Linked DNA regions of Canis lupus familiaris. The main gene of each other region encodes a partner of the protein of the gene in region 5 in a complex. Links are inferred from orthologs where the notes say so. Each region holds a gene or a part of one and is shown on either strand. Other genes may lie near its edges.

Region 1 (3,500 bases), on a different chromosome or scaffold from region 5:
TTAAAGGACAATACACAAGCATTAGGGAGGAATCCACAGCCCAGGAGTCATCACCATGAATGTTTTCTTGCATTTTCTTGAGGATTCTTCTACATCTGTATATCTCTATCTGCAAACATACCTGAAGTCATACTGCGCATATGGCAGTTATTTTTAAAAAGCAACACATATGATATACAAAAAGTACAAAGAAAGAAAACTTACACCCGTCAAGGAGCCTAGGAATTAAAACCTAATTGGTGAAGCCCCATGCCTACCTCCCCTTGTTCACACCCTCTCTCTGAACTCAGTATTTACCATCCTTACACATTTCTTTCATTTTACCACTTATACATATCCCTAAATGATAGGATTCTGCATGTTTTTAGCCTTAAAAAAAATCATTTCGATATCCTGTTTTTCTATTTACAATAATAGTACTTAATTCTATTACCTATGAGTTAGAGGTTTACCATTAATAAATCTGTTATCATGTGAAAAATTTCCAACTTTTATAACAAGTTTTACGACTGCAAAATATTCGATCATATGAATGCATCAGTTACTTAACTATTCCCCTCTTCTGTTGGACATTGTTTTTTCCCTTAATTTTTTGTTAAAGACTTTATTTATTCATGAGAGAGAGAAAGAGAGAGAGACATAGGCAGAGGGAGAAGCAGGGTCCCCATGGGGAGCCTGATGCAGAACTCGATCCCAGGACCCCTGGATCATGACCTGAACCAAAGGCAGACACTCAACCTCTGAGCCACCCAAGGCACCCTTCCCCTAACTTTTTAAAATTAAAAATAACATCTTCATGAGCATCTTGGATACAAATATTCTACTGCATTTTTGGGAACTTCCTTGACAGAGACTCCTAGAAATGAAGTCTTAGGCCCGAGGTTGTGTGACCAGGCTTAGGTCCTATGGCTTAGGCCACAGTTCTAGAGAATGTGCTCCATGCACCTATCAGTCATGGATCCTCTGTGGCCACTTCACCTAAACTGTTTCTCACCCCACGAGAACCTTGTCAGACAAGCATTACTTTCTTCCTTTCCAGGCCAGAGAGGATGCAATCTGCCCAAGGTTGCTAAGTTTCTGGGAGCAATTCTGAGTCATGACAAGTCTTCTCTCCTTTGGCCAATAAATTATCACCCAGCCACAGGGCTGCTGGAGACAGAGGCTTCCGCTTTGGTCCCAGGAGGTCTGGCCCTGAGTAGACCCAGATGCTTATGATGGCTGCTGGTCCTTGGGACTCTCGAGAACCTCGGCAGTTCGTTCATAAGGGTGAGGCCAGCTTGGGCAGTACTGTATGCCAGTAGGAATTCAGTAAAACTGAGCTCCCCTCTCGCCCTCTCTGTGCCTATCAAGTTGAAGAAGCAGCAGAAAAATCTGAGGATGAAGGCTGGTAACACCATGAAATGCCAACAGTGCCAGGCACAGCGTGGGTCCTACTCTCATCCAACTCTCCCTTTAGGGCCTGAATCAGGAACTGTACATGGCAGCGTCAGAGATATTTATTTAATGTATTGATAAATAAATCAGACCCGTTTCTCATGCCACTCTGAAATTTCTCAGAGTAGAGGGGATACCACAGCTAGACCCTACAGCGGGGACCAATCCCAGCCTCTGGAGGCAAGAGGCTGGTCAAGACAGTGAAGACCACCAACCTTACTCACTGTGACTGTGGAGACACTACTTAGCCTCCCTGAGCCTCAGTCTCATCTACAAAACAGAGAAAGGATATACCTCACAAGATGCTGTATGGATTATACATTAAGCCCAGAGCCTGGCATTAGGTAGATGGTCAATAAACAGTATTGTTATTCTTAGCAAGGATGGGAAAGCCCAAGGAGGAAAGTCACTGTGGGGTGTCTCCCCCTGAATTCTGGGGGGATTCTGCTGTCCCTAGTTGCCAGGCCTCTCACCTATCACCTCCTGAAAACTGTTCCACACGGCAGGCCTGGCTGACACAGCAAGGAGCTGGGATGTCACATCAAGAGATGCAGCCCCCAGCGAGGAGCTCTCTCCCACGACGTACAATCCACAGCCACTGCAGCCTCAGAGACAGTGTTACTGAATTAGCAAACCCCACTCGGCACTCCAGCCCCAGCCCTAAATCTGGTGCCACAAGCACCATGCTCTCCTATGCTGTGTTATGGGCTTCAAATGCCCTCCCCTCGTCATCCTCAAGGTCTCAGTGCAGTGCCACCTCTAGGGAATCCTCCCACCCCACCTAAACTGCAGAGCAGGAGTCAGGAGTTGCTGAAGGCAGGGACAATGTGGCAACTATCTGTGTCCCCAGGCCCTGGCTCCCAGTGGGGCACTCAGCACCAGCTCAGGAAATGACAGCAGGAGGGAGTGAAGAGAAGGATGCCCACCCACGAGAGAAGCACTCCACGAGAGAAGCACTCCCAGTTGGCGGGTGCTCTGGGCCCACTCTGAGGTGCTATAACCAACATTACCGACTCGATTAAGTCCAGGGCTTCTGAGAGGCTGGACCCCACGGCAGGGATGAGGAGGTTTGCGGCCTCCACCACCCACTTGTAGGGCAGGCTGGTTTCTGGCGAAGAACCCTCCTGGTCTTCACGTTTAGGGAAGTCCTCCAAGGGCTCTGGTGTTCGCACTCCACCCAGGTCTGCAGGGACAGCTCCCTGCTCCTTAGAAGTAGTGGCTGCCGTGGCCTCCTCCTCACTGCTTTCCTCTTCTTTCATGGCAGGAAGCGCTGGGGGCCAATTGGTCATAAGACTTCCCTGTTGGACACAAGGGCACACTGTTCAGAGTTCCGGTTATAAGATACACATTGTATAGTATTCTAGCTAAAAATGCACAACCTGGGGCACCTGGCTGGCTCAGTCTGAAGAGTGTGCAACTCCTGATCTCGGAGTCGTGAGTTCAAGCCCACATCGGGCATAGAGGTTGCTTAACATAAAAAAAGTTTGTAAATAAAATAGTTAAAAGGTACAACCTGATCTAATAAGGAAACTCAAATGAATCTAAATTGAGACACAGATGAGGTGCCTGGGTGGTTCAGTCAGTTAAGCATCCAACTCTTGATCTCAGCTTAGGTCTTGATTTCAGAATTGTGAGTTCAAGGCCCTGCACTGGGCTCCACACTGGACATGGTGCCTACTTACAGAGAAAGAGAGAGAGAGAGAGTCTATAAAATAACTGGCATTATCTTACACTTCAAAGATACCAGCATCGTGAAAGGTTAAGAAAGGCTAACGGGCTATTCAGATAAAAGTAGACAAAACAAATGATAACTAAGTGAGAAGTCTAGTCCTAGACTGGATCATGGGCAGGAAAATGGAATATAGATTATAGACCTGTTAGAAGTCCTAAATCAGTGCTAAAAGCTCTGAATTGGACATTAGCATGCTGTGAGTATGTAAACCAAGGCCCTTATCCTTAAGAAATACAGACTCCGTATTAAGGGATGGAGAGGTAAACACATGTAACCAACTCTCAAATGGCTCAGATAAAAGAGTAGCATCTATATACAGAAAGATAAAGCAGGG
Region 2 (3,500 bases), on a different chromosome or scaffold from region 5:
TCAACAGTAAATGTTTCTTTTTTTTTTTTTCTTTAAGATTTATTTATTTGAGAGAGGGCACAAGGGGGAGGGGGGCAGAGGGAGAGGGAGTAAAGCAGACTCTGTGCTTGATCCCACAACTCTGAGGTCATGACCTGAGCCAAAAGCAAGAGTCAGATGCCTAACCAACTGAGCCACCCAGGTGCCCCGACAGTAAACGTTTTATAATTGTTTTTCTGCATTTGGTCCATTTCTAGTACCCTGAAATGGTTGTCTTGGACAATCACAGTCCAAGTACAGTATACCACCTCCGTTAGTATCAGAACAGTGGAAACACTCCTGAAATTCAGGTTCCAAGATGCCAACCGTGCAGGCAGGCCTTTGTGAGGATAACGATCTTAGCTGTAGTGTATTAATCTTTTCTGAACATCATCCCAGCCTTTTTTTTGTAGTTAAACTGTTCCTAGTGTTTCACTTGAGTATAATAACTAAATTTCTTCTGTCAACTTTTTTTTTTCAATTTGGGGTTTAAAGCAATGATTTAAAAATATTTTTCCCAGGTAGATATATGATTACTTCAAATATCAAATTAGCGATCATCATTTATAGTTGTATTTAAATTTTTTTTGTTGTTTCTCTAAACCTAAAATCCTTCTTTGAAACTAGAATGGACAATAATACTATACTTTCTATATTTTAAATATATATATTATAAATATATATATATTGGAGCAGTTTAAATTTGACAATTTGTTGTATCTTCCAAATATCTTAATGTCTTTTTGTTTGTTTTTCCAGCTCGATTACGAGGTGTTCATGATGGTCTCTTCACTGGACAAATAGATGCGGTGGATACTTTTAATGCTACCTATAGAGTAACTTTTGATAGGGCAGGGCTTGGAACCCATACCATCCCTGACTATGAAGTTCTTGTAAGTATTTCATGATACCTTCTGTTTTATGCCTATTAAATATGCTATATGGGGCACCTGGCTGGCTCAGTCAGTAGAGCATGTAACTCTTGCCCTTGGGCTTCTGAGTTCGAGCCCCGTGTTCTGTGTGGAGTTTACTTTAAAAATAAAAAATAAAAAAAATTCTTTTTAAAAATTTTATTTATTTGAGAGAGCACACACAAGCACGGGGAGCAACAGGTAGAGGGAGAAGCAGGCTTCCTTCCCACTGAGCAGGGAGCCCAACCTGAGATCCCAGCGCAGGACCCCGGGATCGTGACCTGAGCTGAAGACAGATGCTCAACCGACCAAGCCACACAGGCGTCCCAAAATTTTAAAAATCTTAAAAAAAAAATGTGTAGAATTTTCTACAGACTGTATTTTGTGGTAGAATCAAGACTTCAGGTCACGGAGGAAGAAATCCTTAGGAGTTTGCGGTCCTACCTACCAGGCCCCTAGACCAGAACTACACTCAAGTCTTCAGCATTGTCTAGAAGTAAACATCCTTCCATTATACCCATAGAGCATTTTAGTGTGACAGAACTCATTAAATAACCTTGGGGGATAAGCTACAAGATACTTTTATTCTAGCTATTTTTTTAAAGTATGGTCATCTTGCAAAATTATTTTAAAAATATGAAGTAATATCTTGCATGTTAAGATTTATTCTTCTATTTTATCCTCAGGATTATGCAGGGTAGATGTTAATTACCCTCATTTTTTGCATGATGAAACTTAAGACATAGTACATTAAATAATTTATTCAAGGCTCTAGAGCTGGTTTCCTGACAGGGTGAGAACAGATTCCATATCTTTCAAATTCTTGAATCAGTCCTTTAAGCTACTAGGCCATTACTTCATGCTCATGTGTGATTTAGCAGTGTCATGAGAGTTATGCACCTTTCTAATAAGTCAAAATTATTTTAAGAAGACAACCAACTCTGCAATCTAATAAAGTTTTTAAAAAGTTGAATAATGAACTTTCTTTTTTTTTTAAGATTTTAACTAATCTCTGCACCCATTGTGAGGCTTAGACTCACAACCCTGAGATCAAGAGTTGCATGTGGCATACTGTACTGACTGAGGTGGCTAGGCACCTCAGTAATGAACTTTTTATAACAGAATTGTTTGCCTTTAGGACACCTGGGTTGCTCAGCAGTTGAGTGTCTGCCTTTGGCTCAGGGCATGATCCTGGAATCCCAGGATCAAATCCCACATTGGGCTCCCTGCCTGGAGCCTGCTTCTCCCTCTGCCTATGTCTCTGCCTCTCTCTGTGTCTCTCATGAATAAATAAAATCTTATTTAAAAAAAAAAAAAAAGAATCGTTTGCCTCTAAGCATTATAGAAATTAAATTGTTCACTTTTAATCTTTCTTTTTTCATTTCTTTGTTGTAAACTTGATTTTTAAGGATTGTCATCTTACAATTAAAAATCAAAATTTCTTTATCTCCTTAGTGCAAATATAGAAGAATCTTCTTTTTCTGATATGTACTTTTTAAAAATTAAGACTGTTTATTGTGAGCATTTCCTTATTTTTTTTAATAAATTTTTATTTATTTATGATAGTCACACAGAGGGGGGGGTTGGGGCAGAGACACAGACAGAGGGAGAAGCAGGCTCCATGCACCGGGAGCCCGACATGGGATTCGATTCCGGGTCTCTAGGATCGCGCCCTGGGCCAAAGGCAGGCGCCAAACCGCTGCGCCACCCAGGGATCCCGAGCATTTCCTTATTAAACATACTTTTTTAAAGAGGAGAAATGGGAGAGAAAATTTGGGCTATATTTGTAGAGCAAAGTATACGAATCCTAAGTGTTTTTCCTTAAAGGATGCAATCTTTCAACCTCCCCTTTCAAAAAAGGAAAGTTGCTTTTCTGGTTCATTAATGCAGTTTCCTTTATGAGATATTTCTTGCTGGACAGATAAAAGAGGACTCTAACTGCAGAAGGTAATACTGAGACAGCCTTTAGCCCATAACAAGCACAGATAACCATAGTACACTAATATTTTTTATTTTCCAAATATTTCCGTCCAGTGGTCTTTTTCTTTTCTTAATTCTTCTATTTTGTGAATTACTTTTTTGTGTGTGTGTGAGTTACTTTTTGATCGCAAAGTAGTGTTTTCATACTCGGACTTCAATTTTAGCCCTCTGACCTTTGTAGAATAATAGATTCTGTGATAAATCATAGCACATGAGTTGGTACACATCTCCAGCTGCAACGTAATGTTTATAAAGCTAAGATGATTGGTAAAATTCTTCAAGATTTCTGGACTTTTCTCTTTTCTCAAAGAGTAATGAGCCTCACGAGACAATGCCAATTGCTGCCTTCGGACAAAAACAGCGGCCTTCTCGATTCTTTATGACTCCACCACGATTACATTATACTCCTCCTCTCCAATCACCGATCACAGTAAGTAATATTTTTTAAATGTCATCAGTAATTTAAATGATTATTATGAATGGGAGTTGGTTTTTATGAAATACAAATCATTAAAGCAACTTTAGAAAGTAGCTGCATTATTTTAAGTTGTCAGTTATTAAATAAGCAAATAATTGCTTCAACTCTGGAAT
Region 3 (2,914 bases), on a different chromosome or scaffold from region 5:
GCTGCCAAAGGTCCTTCGCCTACCTCATCTCATTTTACCCTCCGAACAGTTTGTAAAGCGGGACAGTTGTCACATTTCGCAGTAAGGACCTACCTGGTGGCCGGGAAGGACGAGGTCACTCTGGGCAGCGCTACCGCCCCCCGCCCCCGCCCGTTATTCCTGCTCGGGGAAGGCTTTTATTCCGTATGACGGTCACAGGCCTCTGGTCTCCAGCCTACCCCCCGCTAGCTGCCACTTCCCAGTGGACATCTGCCCAAGTCCCCCGCGAACGCGGAGCTAAGTGAACCCTAGACACTCAGCAGTATTTTTCAAGTATTTTCATTTGATTCCTTTTTTTGAAATCTTTTTTTACACGGTCTTAACGTCAAGTTGCTTCGAATCTCTCTCGGAATGAAAGGTAAGTTTAAAACATGAATCTGAATGCTGCTGACGAGAATCCCGGACGGTAGACAAGCCATGGTTACTGGTCCTACTTTACAATCCACTCACTCACTCGCTGATTTGTTTAAAGATTTATTGAGCACTTCTGATGTGCCAGGCATGGTGCAAGGCGCTGGGTGTAACAATGATTAAGACAAAGTCCCTCAAGGAGCTCACAGTCTAATGGTAAACTACGGAGTAAACTGAGGCACAGAGTGGTAAGTGACTTACCCAATGAGGTAGAGAGCTAGGTACTTGGAAATGTGGGAGTAGAGCTGGAGAGAGGGCAGGGTACAGCCCACTCATTAAAAGCAAACCCTTCTGATTGAAAAGCAAGGCTGCGTACAGAAATGTACTACAAAATCTGCTTGCAAAAAAGGTTAAAACAGTTTCCAATTGTCACCATGATTAAATCCATGTCTTGCAACGAATGAAGCCATTACCTGATAGCATTTCTACACTTGCCCCTAAGGCTTCAGGGCACGCCACCAGTCTGCTTGGACACAATAACCCTGCAGGGAGCTTGAAATCACGAAGTATCAGATTTCAATTTCAGCACTGGGAACCATATTGAAATACTTTAATTAAATCCATGAGCTTTCAATGTATAGCGTTATTTATGATACTTCTACATGTAGAAGTTTGGAAAAAAACTTTCCTCTAACCCCCACTGAGAGGATTCTAATAAGTTATAGATACCACAGAAATTAGAGAATTTGTCTGTTATTTTCCATATATACATTATTTTGGCTGTACAAGGGTGAAAAGTTTTACTTAGACATATTACATAAGTAATCTAAACATTATACAGATATATACAAAGACGTCACATTCGGATGCCTGCGTACACCCATCCAACGTACGACAGCTAACTGCAGACGTGAACCCGTGTAAGGCAATTTCTTTTGTTATAATGACACATGATCCTTGAAGAAAAGCGCAGAGTCCGCGAAGCACTCACTGTCCACCTCAGGCCTGACCGTCTGCCTCCGTGGTACTCTGTGAAGTTATTTCAGTAGGCAAGGGTCCATTTCACTGACAAAAAGCAGTGAATAATTATAAAAAGAGTCGTTTTCAAATGCTGAAACCATAATTCTCCAGTAATCGCAGTAGTGAACTACTCAAAGCCACTACTGGCCTTGATGCTGCTGACAGAAGCAGAGAATTTCATGGACGATTTATTGCTCTGAGAATCAAATGTGATGCATAATTCATCCCACACAGGAAGCTCCCCAAGAACTCGGTGCACGAATTCTCAAATGCTATCAGTTGCTTACTTCAAGCAATTCTTCACTTTGCTGTGGAGGATTTTCTTCTGAAAAATAAGAAACATGAAAGAAATTCTCCTGAGTTAAAAGCCAGACAGGTAACAGCACACATCATTCAAGTGCTTACAAACCCCCCAAGACCTCTGGTCAGGAACCGTACTGTTGTGCTAAGGGCCTGAGGCCAACGCCGTAAAGCTCACAGGGGAAACGGGGCTGAGCTGCACACCTGGAAGCCCCGGAGAGTGCACACGGTCTGCTCTGCTCCGACACTGCCAGCTGGCACCGCCATGGGGTCCACTACCACCCTAAGTGTCCAAGGAGATCAAAACGACATGGAATGTAACGATAGAGTTGTTAGAAATCGTCTAAACTGTAGTGAAGAATGACACTGTAATTCTGTAACTCCCGTTTTTATGATCAGAAAGTGTAAAAAAATCAACCACAATAAGACTGCGTATGTGTGTGTATAATCAAATACCATCAGAATCTTAAATTTTCCTAATCACAAACTTGGTATATTTACCTTTATTGGGGGGTTCTGGATGTTTGTTTTTAGATGAAGAGGTGCCTGCACCTTCCGACGATTTATTACTAGAGTGGCCCTGCTCCACCTCACATAAATAAACATCGATGGGGCCTCTGGTGCTCCTTATGTGTACTGTGATAGAGTCCTGGCAAAAGACACATTAGCATGAATGCGAGAATTCATTAATTATACTGTTTCACTTACTAAAACTACCAAAGTTTCAATTCAAGTGGTATTCTGAAAATTTAAATTGGTTTTCTATCATGTATTCGAGAGAATCATGTACTTGGCTTTAATCACTCCAGCAGACTGAGCTGCTGGCCAATTCATGCTGCCGCGACAGCCACTGGATTATCAGTCATGACTTTGGGGCCGTGATGTCATCATCTCTGTACTAAAGAGCCCGTTTTTTGATACTCAAGGAGTCGACCCCTTCTAGGAATCTGTACTTAAGAGTCCAAAATCAGTACTTGGATGACATAGAAATCTAAAACAACCCATAGTCTCAAATGGCAAGGCTGTGTTTAGATCTGATGGCTGCAAAGGTACCGAGTTCACTCAACAGGCCGTCCTCTGCGTGAAAGTCAGAGGATGGGATCCAGACAAAATAGACCTCAGTAGCTTAAATATTCAAAAAAACTGCATATAAAGGACTATTAGTTATTATTCACATCTATGGCTTTGGACCTTTAAATTTACT
Region 4 (3,500 bases), on a different chromosome or scaffold from region 5:
TCCCAGGGTCCTGAGATGGAGACCCACACCCTGCTCAGCAGGAAGCCTGCTTCTCCCTCTCCCTCTGCCTGCTGCTCCCCCTGCTTGTGCTCTGTCAAATAAAGTCTTTCCAAAAAAATTAACAAGAATTAACAATCCTACTGAGGGTGACAGAGGGCATAAGAGCCATCACCTAAGAGGTGATGAGCTAAGAGGGATGGGCAACAGCTGGGAAGGGCACAGGGAACTTTCTGTGGTGCCGGACATGTTCTTTATCCTGATCTGGATGGTGACTCCCCAGACGAAGAAATACACGAGGGTGCGTTGAGCTGCGTATGTGAAATCTGTGGAAACTTCCTCAGAGAAGCCACCTCCCCCTCCGAGCCTCAGTTTCCCCAGCTAGACGATGAGGATGCGGACAGCCACGGTGGGGATCACTATCAGCTCCTCCATGCTGGCCTGGCCCCAGGCCTTAGCCTCCGCCTGCCCTCCTGAAGGGCTGGTACCTACAGCCACTGGATGTGGTTCTTAGACTTCTTGGCAATGAGCTGGATGCCCTCGAGGACGTTGGTGATGTCATAGATGCGCCGTTTCTGCACCTTCAACACCTCAGCCGCCCAGTTCAGATCAACAACGCCATCAGCCGAGCGGCTCAGCAGCTCCAGGAAGCGTTTTGTGGTCAGATTCAGTGAGGTCTCATAGCGTGACTTCTCCCCTGGGGATTTCACACCTAGGGGTCCAGGCAAGGAGGGTTCCCTCAGTACCACCCCCACACCTAGGTGGGCTAGCCTTCCTGGCAGTGCAGGACAGGGCCGAAAGATGGGAGTGGGATGGGCAGATGGCTCCTTCCCCTTGGCAAAACCAACCATGAGGGCCTGGGGCTGCTGCCTGCCAACCACGAGACATTCCTCTTCTGGCTGGGGAACTCCCCACCCCCCAGGGCCTGGGGAAGCCATGCCAGGCAGCCACTCCAGCTGCCCCTCAGGGCCCCCAGAGGCCTGGCTCCAGTCCAGGCCTGACAGATCAGAGTTTACTCTGCAAGCATGTTTGTCCACACCCCCAACTTGGGCCCGGTCAGGGGGCCTGCCCCAGCCCCAGCTCTGTGGGTACCTTTTCCTGGGTGGCGGCCTCTGCCCCGGGCTGGCCCACTGCTCTCAGCCAGGTACTGATGGTCAGTTTCCAGGTCCAACCTCCGCTTTACCTGTGGCAGAAACAATGGGATGATATTTAATAACCAGGAGCGAGGCCACAAAGACTGGGCTCTGGGCTTGGTGCTCCTGGGTCACCCCTGCCCCACTTTCTCTATCATGTCGCCTATGTGTATGAGGGATGGGGAGATCCCAGGGGACACAGTCCTACCGCACAGGACAGATCAGTCAACCATGGGGCGCAGAAGACCTGAGTTTAAGTTCTAGCTCCACCAGTATTTCCCTGGGTGCCTATGGCAGTTTTAAAATCTGTCTGCAAATTTGATACTCTCCCTTTCAAAAAAGCAAAACAAAACAAAACAAAACAAAACAAAAAAATAGAGCCTAATTCTCCTCCCCTTAAATATGGACCAGATCTGGTAACTTGCTTCTCAAGAGCAGTAGGATGGAAGTGATGACAAGTCACTTCTCAGACTGGGTCAGAGCTGCACTGGAGCTTCCTCCTTGTTTTCTATAATGGACCACTCACTCTGGGGAGAGCCACTGCCATGTCACGCAAGCCTGAGTGGCAAGGCATTGAGGCCTTGTCCAGTAGCAACATCAGTCTTAGAAACAAGTCCTTCAACCCTGGTCACGCCTTCTGATGACTGCAGCCTCGCCCAACATTTTGGCTTACGATCTCAGCAGAGATCCTGCGCCAGAAGCACTGAGCAGTCTCCTCTGAATTCCTGCCCCACCAAAATCTGTGTGATAATAATTGTTTGTTATTGGGGTTTATTTTTTTTTTTTAAGATTTTATTTTATTTACTCATGAGAGATACAGAGCGAGAGAGAGGCAGAGACACAGGCAGAGGAAGAAGCAGGCTCCATGCAGGGAGCCTGACATGGGACTCGATCCCAGGTCTCCAGGATCACGCCCTGGGCTGCAGGCGGCGCTAAACCGCTGACGCCACGGGGGCTACCCTTTTTTATTGTTTTTAATTTCAATGCCAGTATATTAACACACAGTGCTGTATTAAGGACTTGTTGTTTTAAGCCATTAGGATACAGGTCCCTTGGGCAAGTTACCTTCTCTCTCTGGATTCTGTGAACATGGTGGCAGCTAGTACTCACCACGTTTTGCACGTTAGTTCATTCCGTCCTATGGACTAGCAGCACAATAATGGCTCCACTTTATGGATAAAGTAACTGAAGCCCAGAGAGGCCCAAGTCAGACAGCCAGGAAGCAGCCAAGCCAGGATTCCTGTCCAGAACACCCTCTTAGTCACACACACGGGAGGATGGAGACTGCCCCAGAATATCTCAGGCATCTCAGGCCCATCCTGACCCACCCCAGTCCTCCCCCACCCACGGGGTTTCCCAAGCTAGACCCTCACTGGGCAGCCATCTGGTAGCCTTTGAGAAACCTCTCGCCACAGCCACTATCTCCTCCCATTTGGACCACTCAGCCAACTCCCTGCCTCCACCTATCCTTCTCCACCCTAGTGCCCTCCTCTGCCACTTCTCCACGTAAACTTCTGCTCAGACGTGTTTTCTCACAAACTTGTGCCTCCAAGTGTTAGCCTGAGCCGTTTCCCTCCCATGAATGCCCCACCTGCCTTCACACCAACTCTTACACCTCTGCGGGAAGGCACCTTACTCCTTACTTAGGTCTTCTCATCCTGCAAGAGACCAGGCCAAAATGCCTCAAACCTGACCTTTCCCCACAATATCTCTTGCAACCAACTTCTGGAGATGTATTTGTCTCACCCAGAAGGCAGTGCCCCGAGGCAGGCGCTGGACCGGAATTATGGAATCATCACTGTTCGCAGGGCCTGGTGTTAACTCCCGTCTGCTGTGTGAACCTCTGCACGTGCCAACGAGCCCTCACTCTCATCGCACACTCATGGATGCCCTCAGGTGCCCCGGGGATAGAAGTGCTCACACATGTCGAGTGTCTCTTGTGTACCGAGCCCTGCTAAATAATGGCTTTACCTGCATCCAGTCATCAAACCCTCTGCCCAGACCTTGCAACAGATGCCATGATGACCTCTACTTTCCAAGAGGCCTGACAATGAGAGATAGGGCCAGGATGTGAGCCCTAATGGGCTGACCCAGAGCCCATATTCCTACCTACTACGTGTCCTGCTTCCCTGCAGCTTCGTCCAGAGACCAGCCCCCAAAAGCCATGTGTGTCTCCTCTCCGGCCTTACCCCTTAGGCCTGAACCTAGCATCCTCCTGCCAATTGCACCCCTCATCTCCCTGCTCCTCAGGCCCATGCCCACCGTGATGACAGGTCAATGCCACACCCTAAAGCAAGGGCTCAAGCAGGTCTCCATTTCAGCCACCACACTCTAGAGCTTGGCACAGGAACCTAAAAAGGCAGAGGTGAA
Region 5 (3,500 bases):
AAAAATTAAGTTCAGAACATTTCCTCATCTCTAATTCAATTTAAAATTGACCACCTAAAGCAAAAATCAAGTTAGTATATTCTCACATTACTTTATAGTTTCATAAAGGAAGTCTGGTGTATAAATATGCATTTTTTTCTCTTTTAGTAAACGAAGCAAAAAAGGAGATAAAAATGGAAAAGGCTTGAGACATTTTTCCATGAAAGTATGTGAGAAAGTTCAGCGGAAAGGTACAACGTCATACAATGAAGTGGCCGATGAGCTGGTATCAGAGTTCACCAATTCAAATAACCATTTGGCAGCTGATTCGGTAGGTAGATCATGCACTTGACATTGACTATGATGAGTGATAGAACAGTGTATCTCTAGGTTGACTGTGTCTTTTTTTTTTTTTTTTTTTTTTTTTTGACTGTGTCATTTTTTTAAGGACTCAGACAAGCTAGGGAATCCCCAACTCCTTTACGTGAGGGTTTCATATTGTCTTTTGGGGAATTCTTCTGTTGAGTTTTGTTTTAGAAAGGGTTCTTTTATTATCTATTTAAACATAAAGATTAGCATGTATTTTTTAAATATACTTTGGGGAGTTACAAAAGGAACATACTTTTTTAAAAAGATTTTATTTGTTTATTTGAGAGCACAGCAGGAGGAGCAGCAGGCAGAGAATATTCATAGAACATTATAGACATATTTATGGAACATGTAAGTCCTCTTTTTAACCACAGACCTTAATCTTTCTCCACAAAGGCATATTCACTATTACCAGATTCTTTAGTATCATCCCCAAAGTTCCTTAGGCATACACATAATAAAACCTATTCCCTATTTTATTTTATTTTATTTTATTTTATTTTATTTTATTTTATTTTATTTTATTTTATTTTATTTTTAAGATTTTGTTTATTTTGGAGAGCTACAGAACAGTTCTGTCACTCCCAAAAGGTTCTTTCTGCCTTTTGTAATGTATCCCTCCTTCCCTCCTTCTCCCTCTATCCCTAGGCAATTGCTGATCTGCTTTTTATCATTATAGATCAATTTGCACTTTATTTAAATGTGATCATATTATATATACTCCACAATTCTTAAAATAGTTCTTGACCTTACTGGAAATATGTTTAATATTCCAATCTTAATTATGACAAGGGTTTTATTTTGAAATGATAGCATCCATAACTTGATTTTTTAAATGAATGTTTCTTTTTTTAATTTTTTATTATTTATTTTTAAGATTTTATTTATTCATGAGAGACACAGAGATGCAGAGACACAGGCAGATGGAGAAGCAGGCTGCCTACAGGAAGCCCAATGTGGGACTCGATCCCAGGATCCTGGGACCACACGCCAAGCCACCCAGGCATCCTGAATGTTTCTTTTTTCTTAACTAAAAATAATCAGAAATGGATATTTAATTTATTCCAATTTTGTGTAGTTTTGAAAATTTGGGTATTTTACACTGACAGTCCTAAATGAGATTGATGTAATCTTTTTGTTTTTACCATCTTTGCAGTTGTTTTTTTTTTTTTTTTTTTTTCCATCTTTGCAGTTTTGATTTGCAGTGTTATGCTGGGCTTTTTAAAATTTAGAGGGTTTTTTTCCTTCTTCCACTTTACTCCATTATAGGTTTAATAGCATTAGATGTGTATTTTGCTTCCCTGACATTTTATAGAATAGAAATCACCTCTGATACCATCTAGGCATGGTGATTTGGTGGGGGGTAATGCTTAGATAGCATTCTCCATTTTTACTTTGGTAATTAGCCTGTTTAGAATTTTTGTCTCCTTTAGTATTTTATGGTTTCTTAGAAAATCCTCCATTTCATACATGTTCTTAAAACTATTTGCAATTATTTTTCCCAAAGAACCATCTCCTAAATTTGTATGGACTCTTCTGTTTTGTAGTTAATTTCTTTTTTTTTTCCTATGTTCATTTAATAGTATCTTCTCTTTCCTGAAGTTACTTTTGTTATTTTTCTATCCTGTAGATTATGATATATACTTTATTTACTTTGATTATTTTTGTTTAGTAATGAAAATGTTTTTTTTTTTTTTTTTATTTATTTATTTATTCATGAGAGACACAGAGAGAGGGGCAGAGACACAGGCAAGGGAGAGGCAGGCTCCTCACAGGGAGCCCGATGTGGGACTTGATCCCTGGACCAGGGATCACACCCTGAGCCAAAGGCAGACGCTCAACCACTGAGCCACCCAGGCGTCCCAATGAAAATGTTTATAGCTGTGACTTATCCTCATGTGCACTGCTTTAGCCATTTCCCATTGATTCTGATATATTACTCTTTAAATATTCTGCAACTTTGGTTTTAGTTTCCTCTCTGACCTAAGAATGGCATTAGAATTTTTATATTTCCAGGTAATAGGGATTTTTTTTGTAAATTGAACTATTTATATATTTTTTAAAATTGCTTTGAGATTTTTCTTGTGAGCCATTATTTGGTAATGCATTTTTTTTCTTTTCTCTGGCACCTGTAGAGAAGGTATGTCGCATTCTGATTCTGAGTGAAAGTGGAAATTTTCAAAATGTTCTACAAGACCTATATGATCTAGCCCACCATTACCTCTCTCATCTCATCTCCTACTAGGAACTCTCCCAGTTACTATACTCTAGCCACCTTATGATAAAAGTTTTATCTTGAAATTATAGCAACCATAACTTGATCTTTTAAATGAATATTTCTTTCATTTTTCTTAATTAAAAAATTCAGAAATGGATATTGAATTCAATCAAATTCTGTGTGTTTCCTGAAAATTTAGGAGTTTTACACTGACAGCCATGAATGAGATTGGTGGGTTTTTGTTTGCTTTTTGTTTCGGGGTGAATATGCCAGGTACGTTCCTTATCAGACTGTTAGACTTGCTATTTCCTATGTCTGAATCTCTGCTAAGGAGCCATATGGTTTCTCTCTTCTCTCCAATTTTTATTCAGATGTCACTGTACCGAGGCATTTCTTCTTAACACATTTTATCATCTAATATAAATTTTAACTTACCAACCCCATCCTCATCCCTGAATACAAGCAAGAGTTGGGGGTTTTCTGTCTATTCACTGCTGTGTTATTTTTTTTTTATAAATATATAAATTGGAAGGTTTGTAGTCTTTAGTTCTTTAACTGGTTATCTTTATAACTTTAAGTAACTTCAGTATTTTGTTTCTTTTGTTGTTACCTATAAACCAATATCTGTTGATTATGAAGGGAAAAAGTTAATATGCTTCTATCTACTTGCATGTCCCATCTTTTGTCTACCACAGATACAGATTGAATATCTTAGTGGTAGTTGTTAAAAGAGTAATATTATTACAGTTTGTTTTTATGACTTTAAATAAATATATTGTGCCAAAACCTGTGTTACTATTTACTTCATCTGTTTAAATAGTTAATCTGCTTTGAATCCCATACCCCTTAAAATAGCAAGGAGAACACGAGCAAGCCTATTTTGTTGTCTCCTCCTGGTATTTTTTTACTATATTATCATTATTTCCACAGTGCC
Region 6 (2,862 bases), on a different chromosome or scaffold from region 5:
GATGAATGGAGGCCAGACAGGCCGAGTGACCTGGTCCAGTCGGATGAGCTGCGGGATGGCGTCAGGCTTCTGGACCGCGATCTTCACCACGTTCCGCGGGGGCGCCATGGTCCAGCCGGAGCAGGAGCGCCTGTAGTTTCCAGACCGTCCAACGTCCGGCCAAGGAAGCGCCTGGTCTGGTGCCTCCGAGAACGAGGGTGTCCCTCTGTCCAAGGCCTGGACCCGTGGCCCGCACTCACGGGTCAGGCTCCGGCTCCTGGACAGGGGCCGCGGCCTTCCCAAGGGAGCCGAGACTAGTTCCGGGTTGGAGTCCCGTGGGAAGGCGCCTGCCCTGCCCCGCCCCGGCAGCCCCGCCCCGCCCCTAGGTGCGCCAGGTGGGGGCGGGGAGGGCGGGATACCGCAACAGCCACACCTCCCTTTCCAACAAAGGTGACCCGCCCGGTCCCACCACCAATCCAGCAGAATTGCAGGGAGGGGCCCTGAAAGAACCAGATCAGAGATAGCCTTAGGCATGGTCTTTTATTCACTTGGATACTGTACAAATATTACAATTTTCTTTTGCTGCAAAAAGTATAAAAATAATCTTTATATAGGAATCCATTCGTTACTGCAAATCTTTCTAAATCTCTGCAAATGGCTCTAAATGAGGGTAAATGAATAAACAAGAAGGGAGGGTTGGTCTACAGGGCAGCAGGAGATTGGGCCAATCCTCAGGGGCTCACCTGCCCAGATTTCTAGCTAAAGACCTCTCTGTTCCTTCTGGTTGACAGCCATTCTCCTCCCCCCGCCCCCATAGGTACTCAGAGCTAAAGGTCCAGCAGATGAGGGGTACACAGGAGAGGTCTAGGGGAAGCTGCAGGGTCAGGGGTGGGGAGAAGGGAAGGAGGCTCGGAGTGGTGCTGGCAAGCATCTGGCTCCACCCTCAGCTTTCCTCCCCAGAGTGGGAGGCGTTGGCTGGAACAGGGCAGTGGGGCTGGACAAGCTGCCCTATGGGGATGATGGCAGGTCTTCAGATCTGTGCCACTGAGTGGCAGCCGAGCCTTGGCTCTGAGAGGGCTCGGAGAGGGCATGAGGTGGGGGAAAGCCCCAGAAAAGGAGAGGCAAACGCTCTGGCTCCATGGTGAAGGGGGCTGAGCCCCTTTCCCCTGCTTTCCTAGCACGGTACAGGTGCTCTACTCGTGCAGGAGTGGGAGTTTTGATCAGAACTGCAGTGAGGGAAGGCTGGGGAAGCCAGGAGTCTGTGGCTCTCAAGCCGTGTAGGGGTAGAGCAGGGGAGGTCCTCAGGCAGCCCCCAGGTCACACAGTCTGTGTCCCAGCCACACAGGGAATGTCCCTGTCAGTCAGAGGTTGAGAACAGGCACATCGAAGAGGTCACAGACACCTTCACTCTCGTCCAGGTTGTAGATGTAATCGTGGTCTCCGGGGGGTGGAGATAGGCGGAGGAGGGGGGCAAACACTGCAGAGAGCACCAGGCTGAGGCCCTGGGCCAAGCACAGCCCCCAGCAGTTGCCCAGCCCCCACTCCCACCCCCACCCTCCACCTTCCTGGGCCACCCACCTTCTGAGGACATCAGCTCCTCCAGCAGCTCTGAGCTCATGCATTCTGGAGGGAGGAAAAGCTGGGTTACATTTTGGCTCCTGGCTCTCCACCCACCAAAGCCCATGAAGAGGGCCCTCCACGCACCACCCCCCCATCAAGAACTTTTTGTCCAGGTACCAAACGCAATCACAGGGCCTCAGAAGTGCAAGAAAACAACCATGAGACCCTTACCCCACGGAAGAGTGCAGACCTACCTCTTGTGGGATCAAAGATTTCTGACAGCTCTTTGGGGAGTTCCAGAACTGAAAGACAAGAAAGCCATGCTGGAGGGCACAGAGATCCAGTCTGGTCCCATTCCAGCCCCCACCTTCCTCAGATCTACCACCCATCTTGGGGCTCCACACAGCTGGAGGTGGAGGGCATGCCCCAGGCCAAGCTGGCGTTGTCAGTCTCCCTGGCTAGATGTGAACTCCTGAGTACCCAGGGTACTAAAGGCTCATCGCAGGTGACTGATACGGCCCTTCTAACTCAGAAGTGCTGCAGAAAGGCAGCAGACCCCTCCCTTCACGGGCTCAGTAGGTATGCCCTGTCTGATGGCGGCTGCCCCACTCACTCCTGCCCTTGCTGAGCACCTGCTCAATGCTAGGCTCAGCGACCACACCCGGGACCAGGTCATCTGGCAAAGCAGGCAGACATTCGATAGGCGCTGGTGCTACAGGGTGACAAGTCTGCTACAAAGGTCTGACTGGAGGACACACGTGTGGAGCAGGGGAAAATTAAACTAGCAGAGTGCTGGTGCACGAGGACTGCACATACCAGGTGAGGGGGCTCTGCTCTTACCCACCAGCCCTTAAGAAGCTGTTGGAGGTACTCTGTAAACTCAGAAATGGCACACACAACCTGTGTTTCAGACAACCCTATCAGTCAGGGTAGAGCGGAAGATGCCGAAGAATTCAGGACAGAGGTAGCCAGTAATGACCCTGAGTATGAGGACATGAAGGCAGCGATGGGAGATGTCTGAGACAAAACTCAGTTAATGCAAAGCGAAGAGGAGATGGAAGCAGAATGATGTGCAGGTGTCAGGCCTGAGGGACCAGGGCCAATAGTAGGGTACACACTGACAGAGAAAAGCTAGTTTCAGTTAAGGACCCAGTGAAGGTGAGAGAGGGAACACAGAGGACAGTGTCAGTGAGAAGAGACTGGTGCTTGTGGGCTGAGGAGAACGAGTCCTAGAAGCGAATACCCAAATCGCAGGATAAAAAGAAGACTCAAGGCAAATGACATCACGTCCCCTGGGAAGACACTGCCCCCACTTTTGAAGCC
Region 7 (3,500 bases), on a different chromosome or scaffold from region 5:
AGCACTGTCGCTGAATCCCGGACGAGGTGGAGCAGATATCCCCACTTCACAGGTGGGGCTCCAGAGGTCAACTGACTTGCTGAGCTCCCCCAGCTAAGAAGGAGGCAGGCCCAGGTGGGAACCCCCATGGATGTGACTCCCAGGCCTTTGCTCAGGCTCTCCTTGGCTCTCATCTTTCTGGGCTTGTCTTTTGCCACCTCTGTTCTGTAGGCCCAGGCCCATCTGTGGGCTATGCCCTAAGGTATCAGGGAGATGGCCTTGGAAGAGGGACATTTTGCTGCTTGAGGTATAGGATAAGGGAAGGGACTGAGAAACGGAGGGAACTGGTATGTCTGCATAAAGTAATGGGGGAAGGTGGGCACAGCCAGGTCTTTGCTCAAACTGCAGAAAATTCTGGGGAATGGTCATGGGATAGAGCTGAGATGGCCTAGTATGTGGTTTGGGGGCCAGACAGTCCTGGGTTTAAACTCTGGCTCTACTCTTTGCCCGTGTGACCTTGGGCATGTGTCTTACCCTCTCTGAGTCTCCACTTCTCATCTGCAAGGAGAGATTGCCAATACTGATGTTGCAGGACTGATGAGCACGTGATAGGCCCGATGCAGATATTCTGTTCAAGGTCCTTCCTATCTTGTACCCGCTCTTCAGGTAGTGAGGTTCTTCCTCCTGTGTTCTGTGAACTCAGCAGGGCCTGGCTCCTGTTGGGCGGGGGAGGTGGACCTGGTTGGGGTGACTCTGGGCTGTCCCGGCTCTGCCTCAGGTAGAACTCAGCTTGACTTCCCTTCCTCTCCTTGCTCTTGGCATTCTTCTTGAGGGATGTGTGCACGGTCCTGGGATGGACAACTTTGACCAGGATTGATAAAGACCTTGGTGCTCGCCAAGTCCCGGTTACTTCAGCTGTTAAATGGGGGTTGGCAGTGCTGGGGAGACTCTGTGAGGCGCTGAATGTTGGGGCTTAGCCCGGGGCATGTGGAAGATCTCAATGAATGACTGGGCCTTTCTCTAGAGACAAGATAGGTCACATTCCCTAGAATCTGGGATTCAGCAGCTGAGAGGTTAAGAAAAGAATATTCCAGGGGATCCCTGGGTGGCTCAGCGGTTTGGCGCCTGCCTTTGGCCCAGGGCGCGGTCCTGGAGTCCCGGGATCGAGTCCCGCGTCGGTCTCCCGGCATGGAGCCTGCTTCTCCCTCCTCCTGTGTCTCTGCTTCTCTCTCTCTCTCTCTCTCTCTCTCTGTCTATCATAAATAAATAAATAAATAAATAAATAAATAAATAAATAAATAAATCTTTAAAAAAAAAAAAAAGAATATTCCAGAGAGACTTCAAGAGGAATGAGCAGGGAAGTGTTTGGATCATGTCCAGGTTTGGCTAGGGGTGGAAGCCTCATATCCAGGCTTCTCAAAAGAAGGAGAGGTATAGGACAAGGGGAGGGACAGTGAGATGGAGGGAACTGGTATGCCTGCATAAAGTAATGGGAGCAGGTGGGCATAGCCAGGCCTTTGCTCAAACTCCAGCAAATTCTCAGGGAATGGGTGTGGGATAGAGCTGAGACAGCCTAGTATGTGGCTTTGGGGTCAGACCTGGAATCAGTCCGGGAGGACTTCCTGGAGGAGGCAGGAGCGGGGAGGGGAGCTGATGGCCGGAAGAGCTGTCACCACTTCCCACACCTGTCACCCCAGCTGTGCTCAGCAGCAGTTAGAAGTCTCAGCCCTGCCGAGCATGACCTCACTGTCAAAGGTTAAAATAGACCTCTCTGCCCCAACCAACTTAGAGGTGTCTGGGTGATTAGGGAAGAGGAAGAAAATAGGCTTGGTGGCCCCTGAAGGGTGTGTCAAGGAAGACACCAAGCCTGGATTTCAGGGAAGGGACTCTGTATGTTCTGAACACCTACTGTGTGCTGAGCCACAGGCTGAGCACTTTGCAGGACTTATCTCCTTGATTCCTCACCACGGTCCCTCAAGGTGGGTGTTCTCTGCTCCATTTTACAGAGGAGGAAACTGAGGCTCCTGGATGTGGAGCGCTTCCCCGAGTCCCACACACACAGCAAGCCCGTGAAGGAGCCGGGAGAGTCAGGTCCAGGCCTCTGACCTGTGCCCCAGTGCCCCAGTAGCCTAGCCCTGCCCCTGCCCAGCCCTAGCAGGAGAGAGGCCCCTTCCGGGCCAGTGCAGCTTCTGGGCCTAATTGGGGCCTGGTGGCAGCGGGGTGGAGAAGAGCAGATGGGTCTGTGGTTTGATTTCCCCAGCAGGTGTTTCCCAAGCTTGGCGGGAACAGGCAGGGGGAGCAGGGGGACCTCAGCTGTTTGTCCTTGAGATGCAGGGGAAGGATTCATTGTCTGCCCCTCTCGGCAAAGAAAGAATGGCAAATGGAGTCTATTCAGGAGGCCCTGGGGCCCCGGGGCCCTGGAGCTGGAGCCCAAACATGGGGGTGGGGAATGTTTGCTCTGCTTCCCGAAGTGGGCACCTCCCTGGGGTGTGGCACTGAGCCAGGAAGTCCCCTGGGCCCGGGCGGATGCCCAGCCCCACCCTGATAAGGGCCAGCTGTGGGGCTGTGATGGGCACCAGGGCAGGCGGGCCAGCTGCTTTTGCACTTGCTGGGGTGGGAGGCTCTCCCCAGCCTGATGTGGTTTGAGTCCTACCCACTCCTTCCTCCCTGCATCATCCTCTGGGCGTGGGGGTGGGGGGTGGCGGATGTAGAAGTGACCCTGGGGCCTGTAATTAAGGAACCTTGAGGTCTTGGCCAGACTGGCTTCCGTAACCTTCGAGTACCTGGGCCTCAGGATGAGAGTGTCGTGTGCTCCTCCGAAAATGGGACTCCCTTTCCCCTGGAGGCTCACTTGGCCAGTCGCTGCTGGGTCCTCACCAAGTGCAATGAGGTTTCACCAGGACTGGGGGTAAATCGAGGCAGAGAAAGCAGCTGCTGGTGGCCTCTTTTCCCCGACTTGGGGTGGGGGGGAGACTGAAGGAGAATGATTCTCAAACTCTGCCTCTCTCTCTCCTGTCTCCAAGGCCAAAAGGAAGCTGGACCTGGAGGGGATCGGGAGGCCAGCCATCCCTGAATTCCGGACTCCCAAGGGGAAGTGCATTAGAGTGGAGGGCCTTCCCAGCCCCAGAAGTAAGCCCAGCTTATGGGGTGGGGGCGGGGGTGGGGGGTTCCGAGGGCAAGCTGGGCGGGCAGGGGCAGAGGGCAGCAGCAGCCTCACCCACATCATCAGGAGCCTATTTGTGGCGCACTTCCCGGTTTACAAAGCAGATGCCTCTGTGCTCTCTCAGGGGACCTGCCTGTAGGGCACACTATCCCCCTTTCACTGAGGAGGCAGCTTGTGTGACTTGCCCAAGGGCACACTGCTGGTGAGTGGGGGTCAGGACTCCAACCCAAGCCAGCACTGCTTCTCCCACGCCATATGCCACTCTCGTGACCAGAACGTGATGGCTGGTGTTGTACTTGGGAGCTTTTCTTTTTTTTTAAAAGTTTATGTTTTGTTCAGTCTGACCTTTTCTAAAAGA

What was found.
Region 1: TFDP2 (region 5) and MYBL2 share a complex: the UniProt entries of both Homo sapiens proteins name them as parts of the DREAM complex. The link is inferred for Canis lupus familiaris from reciprocal best matches to the Homo sapiens genes TFDP2 and MYBL2.
Region 2: TFDP2 (region 5) and LIN9 share a complex: the UniProt entries of both Homo sapiens proteins name them as parts of the DREAM complex. The link is inferred for Canis lupus familiaris from reciprocal best matches to the Homo sapiens genes TFDP2 and LIN9.
Region 3: TFDP2 (region 5) and E2F6 share a complex: the UniProt entries of both Homo sapiens proteins name them as parts of the DRTF1/E2F transcription factor complex. The link is inferred for Canis lupus familiaris from reciprocal best matches to the Homo sapiens genes TFDP2 and E2F6.
Region 4: TFDP2 (region 5) and E2F1 share a complex: the UniProt entries of both Homo sapiens proteins name them as parts of the DRTF1/E2F transcription factor complex. The link is inferred for Canis lupus familiaris from reciprocal best matches to the Homo sapiens genes TFDP2 and E2F1.
Region 6: TFDP2 (region 5) and E2F4 share a complex: the UniProt entries of both Homo sapiens proteins name them as parts of the DRTF1/E2F transcription factor complex. The link is inferred for Canis lupus familiaris from reciprocal best matches to the Homo sapiens genes TFDP2 and E2F4.
Region 7: TFDP2 (region 5) and E2F2 share a complex: the UniProt entries of both Homo sapiens proteins name them as parts of the DRTF1/E2F transcription factor complex. The link is inferred for Canis lupus familiaris from reciprocal best matches to the Homo sapiens genes TFDP2 and E2F2.

The regions. Positions count from the first base shown.
Region 1 is NC_049245.1:31,987,004-31,990,503, reverse strand, and holds part of MYBL2 (myb-related protein B), read right to left. Parts: intron 2,733-3,500; coding exon 2,445-2,732; intron 1-2,444. UniProt on the Homo sapiens protein: Transcription factor involved in the regulation of cell survival, proliferation, and differentiation. Transactivates the expression of the CLU gene.
Region 2 is NC_049228.1:38,560,401-38,563,900, forward strand, and holds part of LIN9 (protein lin-9 homolog), read left to right. Parts: intron 1-777; coding exon 778-911; intron 912-3,219; coding exon 3,220-3,339; intron 3,340-3,500. UniProt on the Homo sapiens protein: Acts as a tumor suppressor. Inhibits DNA synthesis. Its ability to inhibit oncogenic transformation is mediated through its association with RB1. Plays a role in the expression of genes required for the G1/S transition.
Region 3 is NC_049238.1:8,166,891-8,169,804, forward strand, and holds the end of E2F6 (transcription factor E2F6), read right to left. Parts: intron 2,360-2,914; coding exon 2,212-2,359; intron 1,736-2,211; coding exon 1,686-1,735; 3' UTR 501-1,685; downstream 1-500. UniProt on the Homo sapiens protein: Inhibitor of E2F-dependent transcription. Binds DNA cooperatively with DP proteins through the E2 recognition site, 5'-TTTC[CG]CGC-3'. Has a preference for the 5'-TTTCCCGC-3' E2F recognition site.
Region 4 is NC_049245.1:23,402,024-23,405,523, forward strand, and holds part of E2F1 (transcription factor E2F1), read right to left. Parts: intron 1,181-3,500; coding exon 1,090-1,180; intron 710-1,089; coding exon 490-709; intron 1-489. UniProt on the Homo sapiens protein: Transcription activator that binds DNA cooperatively with DP proteins through the E2 recognition site, 5'-TTTC[CG]CGC-3' found in the promoter region of a number of genes whose products are involved in cell cycle regulation or in DNA replication.
Region 5 is NC_049244.1:38,314,548-38,318,047, reverse strand, and holds part of TFDP2 (transcription factor Dp-2), read left to right. Parts: intron 1-147; coding exon 148-310; intron 311-3,500. UniProt on the Homo sapiens protein: Can stimulate E2F-dependent transcription.
Region 6 is NC_049226.1:82,754,895-82,757,756, forward strand, and holds the end of E2F4 (transcription factor E2F4), read right to left. Parts: intron 1,842-2,862; coding exon 1,794-1,841; intron 1,603-1,793; coding exon 1,558-1,602; intron 1,457-1,557; coding exon 1,341-1,456; 3' UTR 501-1,340; downstream 1-500. Other genes in the region: ELMO3 (engulfment and cell motility protein 3), read right to left, coding at 31-108. UniProt on the Homo sapiens protein: Transcription activator that binds DNA cooperatively with DP proteins through the E2 recognition site, 5'-TTTC[CG]CGC-3' found in the promoter region of a number of genes whose products are involved in cell cycle regulation or in DNA replication.
Region 7 is NC_049223.1:75,298,343-75,301,842, forward strand, and holds part of E2F2 (transcription factor E2F2), read left to right. Parts: intron 1-1,328; exon of another isoform or gene 1,329-2,505; coding exon of another isoform or gene 2,506-2,592; intron 2,593-3,002; coding exon 3,003-3,108; intron 3,109-3,500. UniProt on the Homo sapiens protein: Transcription activator that binds DNA cooperatively with DP proteins through the E2 recognition site, 5'-TTTC[CG]CGC-3' found in the promoter region of a number of genes whose products are involved in cell cycle regulation or in DNA replication.